Cricetulus griseus: one gene and its partner. The protein of the gene in region 2 purifies or fractionates together with the protein of the main gene of each other region. This does not show direct contact. Links are inferred from orthologs where the notes say so. Each region holds a gene or a part of one and is shown on either strand. Other genes may lie near its edges.

Region 1 (4,090 bases), on a different chromosome or scaffold from region 2:
GGGTTGAAGAGATGGCTCAGTGGTTAAGATCACTGGCTGTTGTTACACAGGATTCAGGTTTGATTCCCAGCACCCACATGGCAGATCACAACTGTCTGTATCTTCAGTCTCAGGGCTGGCCTCTACGGGGAACTGCATGCACAGAGTGCACAACATGCAAACAAAACATACATACATACATAGATGTAAAATAAATACAATTAAGCTGCATTCCTTTCCCTTAGTATTCTGCCCAGCCTCTGAATATTTGTTAAACAAAGACTTCATGGCACAAAGCAGACTGTTAATTGTGTATGTGTTTAAGGAAACAATCCACATAATCTCAGGAACACATGAGCAGAGAAAGAAAATGAGATCAGAGAGGTAACTTCTAAGTTACCAGTGTATAAGAGGATCACAAATTCAAAGTCAGGATGTGGTGGCAAATGTCTTTTAATCCCAGTACATTTGTGTGTGGCAGAGGTAGGTGGATCTCTTGAGTTCTACACAGCAAGTTCCAGACAAGCTGAAGCTACACAGTCGAGACCTTGTGCTCCAAATAAGGCAGGGGAAAAAAATGTTCAAAGTAATCCATAAATAACATAGCAAATTTAAAGGCAGCCAGAGTAACATTAGGCCTTGTCTCAAAAAAAGAAAACCAGACAGGTGTGGTCTGATTCACATCACTAATTCCTGTACAACCAGGTTTACTTAGTGAGAACCTGTCTTTAAAAAAGAAAAAAAAAAAAAAGTGAGTACTGATGAAAAGCAGAAAACAGAAGACTTAATTTGTTGAGAAAAGGAGCAAATAAAGAAGTCTAGGATCCCTATTTGTTTGGGAGGTACTGACATAAGCTTTAGGTTTAAACAAAGAATTGGGGGACTACCACCCAGAGAAGGTTCCCGCAGTCGTCATACACACACACACACACCCGGAAATGGTCGTTTATGGGGCTAGGGTAAGAAGCCAGGGCAGACGCACTGACCTATGATGTCATTAGGACGTTAAAGTCCTTAACATCACCTGGAGGGAGCTCAATTTCCCTTCCCCGACAGGTCCGGGGAAAGCCGATTCTGAATGCAGGCCCTCATTGGTTACGCCCTCTGTCAATCCACTTCATTGTTCCAGTCTTCCGCCCCGCCTTTCCCCCCTCTGCTTCTGATAGGCTCCTGAGCCTGTCACTTCGGAAAGGTCCGCATTCCTTCCGCCTTTCTCCATGAGACCGAGGGCTAGAAGGGTGGATCCCAAGAGGCTCCCACCCACCTGAGCTCGGCTCCTAAGTCTGATTGGCTTGCTCGGGTGCCTGTCACTACCGCTTTCGCCGTTGACTGGTCGTCGGACCGCCGCTCTGCGCGGCGCCGGTTCCGCCCCCGTCGGGTGTTTGTGGTGGGGCTGCGGAGTCGCCGATCCCGCCGGAAGCGCCAGGACAATGGGGACCCGGGACGATGAGTACGACTACTTATTCAAAGGTGCGCCCGGTGGAGTACAGGCGGGCAAGGGCGCGGTAGCGACGGGAGGGTCGAGGCCGCAGTACGGGGCGAGAGGGTCCAGGGTGGAGCCCCAGGCTTCAGCGGGGCCCTATCCCGGGTAGAGAGTCGGAGGAAGCCACGGCAGGCCGAGCTCACTAGGCTTCGGGCCCTAGTCCGCAGCAGTGAGAAGAGGGAGGCTTAGAGAGGCCTGTGGACCCCGGATGCACCGGGGCGGGGCCGGGCCCTGGAGAGGGTGGGGCCCGGAGTGGAAGGCGAGGCCGTTGGGGCGGGGCTCCATGAGGGGCGGGGCTTCCCTGGGTTTGGCTGGCGGGCTGCGTTGAAAGCGTTGACAGCGGGGGGTTATAGATGGGGTTAGGGCAGTTGAAGAACATTGTGGGCGTGCCCAGGAAGCCTGATTGGTGTGAGACTTCTAGGGCTGGGCCTGGACTGGTAGGGGCGGGGCCTGCCTTTGGGGGGGGTGGGGCCTGGGTCACGTGGTGCAGGAGCCCTAAATTGTGGTGCCTTGGAATTGGGTGGGATGGTGCCTGTGTGTGCAGCGGTAGTTCAAACTCTGAGTAAATGATGGAGATGTAGTTCAGTTGGTAGAGAGAGAGCTTGCCTAGCAGTAGCAGGCACAAAGCCCCGGGCTTTATCGCCAGCACCGTATAAACCTTGTGTGATGGTGCAGGCGTTGGGTGGTCTGCGCTTGGGAGGCAGACGTAGGAAGATCAGAAGTGCAGAGGCCAGCCTGGATTACTGGAACTCAAAGGAAAAAAAAAAAACACGTGGATGACATTGGGCCAGTACATACACTGTTCTGAGACTTTACATTAATGACTCCTTTTAATCCTCTTTATCAGTTTATACAGTCCATATTATCCAAGAAACATGCTTGTAAGTGGTGCACACCTGAAATCCCATTACTCAGAGTTGGAGTCAGGAGGATCTTTTTCTATTTCAAAGTCAACCTGGGGGTGATGAGATAGGTCAACAGGTATTTGTGTGTGCTGCCAAGCCTGATAACGTGAATTCAGTCTTGGGGCCTACATGGTAGAACAGAGTCTGCAAGTTGTCCTCTGTCCATGTCACATGAGCCCACGCACATACAGCACACAGAATAAATAATGTGATTTGGCCAACTGTGGTGGCACTTGCCTTAAGTTCCAGTACTCAGGAGGGAGCTGAAACACACAGTTCTGTGAAATTCAAGGCAGGCAAGCCTGGTCTACATAGAGAGTTCTAGGTGTGGTGGAATGCCAAGTGAGACCCTATCTCAACAAAAATTTTTAAAGATAACATCAGTTACATAGCCATATCCTGTCCTCAAAACAAGAAGGAAACTGAAGTTCAGAGAGACAAGTTCCTGAGGGAGGAGCAGGATTGAGCTCTGGACAGTTTAGGGAGTTTTTGCCACTTAGGGTATGAGCTTTGGGGCAAGTTTTGCAGCTTAGATCTGGAACAAACAGGTGTCAGACCTCCCCTCAACACATACACATCCAACCCACTGGAAGAGTTTCCTACCTGTAGCATGATCAATAAAAGACCCAGAGACTGATATTGGGGTTCAAACTTTAAGCTGAAGATCAGAAAAGCAAAGCAGCTGGCTATTAGTTCTTTCTTATAGCTCAGGCTGAAAGGCAATCCTGGCTCCACCAAACCTCATACTGAAATCCCAGACTGTTCTGCTCTCTTCCGAGAGGCTAGAGAATCTTTAGACTCCAATGTCTTCCTATCCTCAGTGTGGCTGGAGAATGAATGCCAGCTCTGAGACCCTGTTCCTGTCTAAATAACCTTTCATGAGTCCTGGGATTAAAGGTGTTGGCTCTGTTACTCTTTTAGACTGATTCAATCTCGTGTAGCCCTGGATGGCCTTGAACTCAGGGAGATCCATCTGCCTTTGTCTCCTGAGTCCTGGGATAAAAGGTGTGTACCACCACTGCCTGATCTCGGTAGCTTGAGGCTTACTTGCTTTCTGAATCCTCAGGCAAGCTTTAATAAAACATACTATATTACCTCACCCCCCATGTCACTGGGGTCCCTCATTTCTCTGATGAACATATTTAGGGGTCTCTGGCATGATGACACCTTCTATGCCAGGCGGGCTTTTTGGTCCTGTGCTGTTTATGCTAGGCTCCCCACCAGACAGTGGCTGCTTTTGAGCTAATTTCTGAGCACTAAAGGGACACACAGTTGCCCTTCTGGGAGTGTGTCCTGGTGCTTAAAGCCAGCCTTGGCATCTTGGGTTTGTGGAGGTAGTAGGGATAGCCATGTGACAAAAGGTTCCTAGGCAGAGACAGAGGTCTGCAAAGATGCAGAGTTAACCACATAGCACCATGGCCTGGTAGTGGGCTGTGTCCAGATGTAAGTGATTAGCAGGTGTAGGCTCCAGGTATCACTCTAGAGGCAGAGGATGATTTGGAAGGATTTTTGGAGACCAAATATTTGAAGGGCTTTCTGGTGATGGGTGGAACAGACTCAGGCCCTAAAATGGCAAGGACCTGTCCCCACACAACCTACCCTGAGGAAGCTTCAGGCAGGACAGGGAATCTTTTCCCTTCAAGTCAACACATTGAGCATCTGTGGTCATTCCTTGCTTGTTTTCGACCTTTTGCTGTTATAAATAGCTTGGCATTGAATGTGT
Region 2 (3,500 bases):
TTGCCTCCCAGCTTCTGGGATTAAAGGCATGTGCCACCACACCCAACTAAGGTAGGGTCTTGTATTTTCTAAACTGGCCTTAAAGTCATATATGCTCCCACTTCCCCAATATCTGCGACTTTAGGCCTACATCACTGTGCCAAGTTCTTTATTTTTAGAAATAACTCATTATTGGATTATTATTCTAGATGGTTATAAGGGTTGAGGGTAGAGCTCTGTTGCTAGAGTACTGTGTAATAACACTCAAAAGCCCAAGTAAGATAGATGCATTGGACTACCCTTGTCTAGCATGTAGACCAAAAAAAAAAAAAAAAAAAAAAGAAAGAAAGAAAGAAAGAAAGAAAGAAAAGTACAGGGCTAGGGATATAACTTGAGGGCAGAACACTTGCCTGTTTTGTTCGGTCACTTGCACTACAAAAATGAATGGATAAATAAAAGCAAAGTTCTGTATTGTCCCCCACCTGCTTACTCTTCATTGAGGCAGTGTAGAAGAGCATTGGTATGAGAGCTGAGAGCAGCAGAGAGGAATTCACAGATGGCATCAGGAGCCCCGTTGGAGCTGCTTCCATCCAAAGGTAACCTCTCATCTTTTCTTCCCCTAGATGGTACACCCTGAAGTCCAAACCAGGAAAGAAGGACAAAGAGCGAGGAGAGATTGAGGTCGATATCCAGTTTATGAGAAACAACATGACTGCCAGCATGTTTGACCTCTCCATGAAAGATAAGTCTCGAAATCCATTTGGAAAACTGAAAGACAAGATCAAAGGGAAGAATAAGGATAGCGCTTCGGACACCGCTTCAGCCATAATCCCCAGCACAACACCCTCAGTGGACAGCGATGAGGAGTCTTTCTCAAAAGACAAGAAAAAGAAATCAAAGATCAAGACTTTGTTTTCCAAGTCAAATTTGCAGAAGACGCCGCTCTCCCAGTCCATGTCTGTCCTGCCTACTTCCAAGCTAGACAAAGTGCTGCTTCATCCCGGTGACTTGAAGTCCCGGTGGGATGATGATGACAATGAGGATGAGTCCTCCTCTGCCTCGGATGGTGAGTTTCTGTCTTTGCTCACTCATCTGCTTCCCCAGCCTTTGTTCTGAGAAGGAAGAGGCAGGTCTTTGGGTTTTAGTTACCACAGTGATGATGGTGATGATATTCATTAAGGCTTTGTTCCTTAGGAGAATACAATAGTCTTCTCCAAGGCTTTGGAGCTCACAAAATAAGTAGATTTGAGGGGATTTTGCTGCTGTTTGTTTTTTCACAGTCCTGGAATCTGGCTCAGGGCCCTAGTATGCTGGGCAAATGCTCTAACCCTGACACACATCCCTAGCACCTGTTGTATATAATAGAATAAAACTATAGGACTGTGTTGTGACAGGCTGTGTGTATGTCTGACTCTTCATTAAATCTTCAGATGTCAGCTGAGCTTCTATCACGTGCCTAACTCCCATGTGGTACATCCCTGGTGGAAGCTAAGTAGTCCAGTCTCCTTGACTCAAACTGTGTTTTTTGAACTTCAGCTTCAATTACTGAATCCCTTTTTATGGCCAGATTTTGTTACTCTATTGAGAACGTAGCCTTTTCCACTGGCTTAACATGGAATTTCTTAACTTTGGCATCACTGATTGTTTGGGTTGATAATTTCTTCTTGTGGGGAACCATCTTGTGCATAGGAGGATGCTTAGGTAACACTAGTACCTTCCAATCAGTTACCTCGATTGAAGATGTGTGCGGATGCTGATGGATTGACAGATGCCCCTGCCCATTGCAACTACTTGTTTTACCACTCCCATGCTCCTCTCTTCCGGTCTGCACGCTAGGATGAAAATGATGGCATCATACATGTTAATCAAGAACTCTGTCACTGAACTTTGCCTCAGATCCCTCACTCATATAATTTCCCTTTTTGTTTGTTTGTTTTATTCCTCTAGAGATTGAACCTCAGTGCCTGGAGCATGAAAGACAAACGCTGTAACTTGGAGCTGTATCCTCAGCTTCATTTTTTATTTAGTGTGTCTGAAGGTCAGAGGCTAGCTCGTGGGGGTGGTTCTCTTTTGACTATGTGGGTCCTGGGGATTTAATTCAGGTCACCAGCTTTGCAGTAAATACCTTCACTCTGTGAACCATCTCTCCAGAACTTACCCTTTGTGTTATTTTCTTCCCAGTCATGTCCCACAAGAGAACACCCAGTGCAGACCATACACAACTGAACCAGACCAAGAAAGAGGGGCTCTCCTTCCTCGGAGGCCTCCGGTCCAAGAATGACTCCCTTTCCAGATCTAACTTGTGTATCAATGGGAACCACGTTTACATGGAGCAGCCAGAGGCCAAGAGTGAGATCAAGGACAGCAGCCCTTCGAATTCCCCATCCCCACAGGGCTTCAGGAAGAAGCATTTGTTCTCTTCCACCGAGAACCTGGCTGCCAGATCTCCTAAGGAACCAGGGGAAGGAGGTGGCGTGACCTCTGACAGGCGACTGTCCGACTCTTCCAGCAAGGATTCTGTGAAGTCTATGTCTTTGCCATCCTACCGACCTCTGACCAGTGGGGACAGTAGAGAGAGTATGTCTCCAGCAAATACGGAGGCTACAAAAGAAACAAAAGAGAGCAAGAAGCAGGAGAACAAGAAATCCTCTTTGCTTTCTCTGGTGACAGGAAAGAAAGATGTGGCAAAAGGCAGTGAAGGCGAACCTCTTCCCATTGTCTCAGAGAAAGAGAAGGAAAGGCAAGGCACGAGCACGGAAGCCCAGCTGAGGGAGGAAGACCTTGGACGAAAGTCTGAGAGAGATGTTGTACCTGTTGCCTCCCAGTGGGGCAACTCCCTGAATCCCTTTGAAGATGTGCAGATCTCAAACCCAGAAGCCAGCCTGGAGTCTAAGTCTGAACCGAAGCCACCAGTTCCCGCTCCAAGGGCTCCCCAGACCAAAGCTGTAAAACCTAGGTAAGTCCTAGTTTTTTACATGTGGGACCTTTCTCTGCCACTACCTGGTATTTAGCAGTTTCCACTAGAGCAAATCTGGTCAGTTTCAGGATGTGTGTGCAAAGGTCTGCTAGTCTTAAGTCATTTGAACCAGTCACCTCTGCTGGCCTGGCCTGGCCTGCCCAATGCAGAGGACAAAAGTGTTTCCCAGCCTAAAGCTCAGCCATGCATGGGTGGGGGTTGTTTTTCTCAGTGAGCTAACCAGACTCCAGTGAAAAGAGACACTCTGTGGTCGATTCTGAGCATATGACCTGGTTGCATTGAGTACACAGGTTGAACCCATGTTTAAGTTTTCAGTGCACTGCCATTGGAGATGGCTGCCTCTCCTGGCACTTGGCATCAGTTTGCTAGTGTTCGACACCCCTGGTCCATCCTTTAGTGTACCTGTGACCATTCTGTTTCCTCTGTGCCTGATCATGAGAGCCTGCCTCAACCTGAACAATCTGTTTTCTGAGTGACTTCCATGTTGACATTTCTCTGGTATGGGGGTGGAGAGACAAACTTTTGGAGATTGTACACACAGGTT

The links. The genes of interacting proteins can lie anywhere in the genome.
Region 1: the proteins of Rab11fip1 (region 2) and Rab11b purify together in Homo sapiens (affinity purification with mass spectrometry; 3 studies listed by BioGRID and IntAct, counting the BioPlex papers as one, with this or other methods). This does not show direct contact. The link is inferred for Cricetulus griseus from reciprocal best matches to the Homo sapiens genes RAB11FIP1 and RAB11B.

Annotation. Positions count from the first base shown.
Region 1 is NC_048598.1:95,215,502-95,219,591, forward strand, and holds the start of Rab11b (ras-related protein Rab-11B), read left to right. Parts: upstream 1-1,290; 5' UTR 1,291-1,409; coding exon 1,410-1,449; intron 1,450-4,090. UniProt on the Homo sapiens protein: The small GTPases Rab are key regulators of intracellular membrane trafficking, from the formation of transport vesicles to their fusion with membranes.
Region 2 is NW_023276807.1:56,678,570-56,682,069, forward strand, and holds part of Rab11fip1 (rab11 family-interacting protein 1), read left to right. Parts: intron 1-602; coding exon 603-1,045; intron 1,046-2,160; coding exon 2,161-2,935; intron 2,936-3,500. UniProt on the Homo sapiens protein: A Rab11 effector protein involved in the endosomal recycling process. Also involved in controlling membrane trafficking along the phagocytic pathway and in phagocytosis. Interaction with RAB14 may function in the process of neurite formation.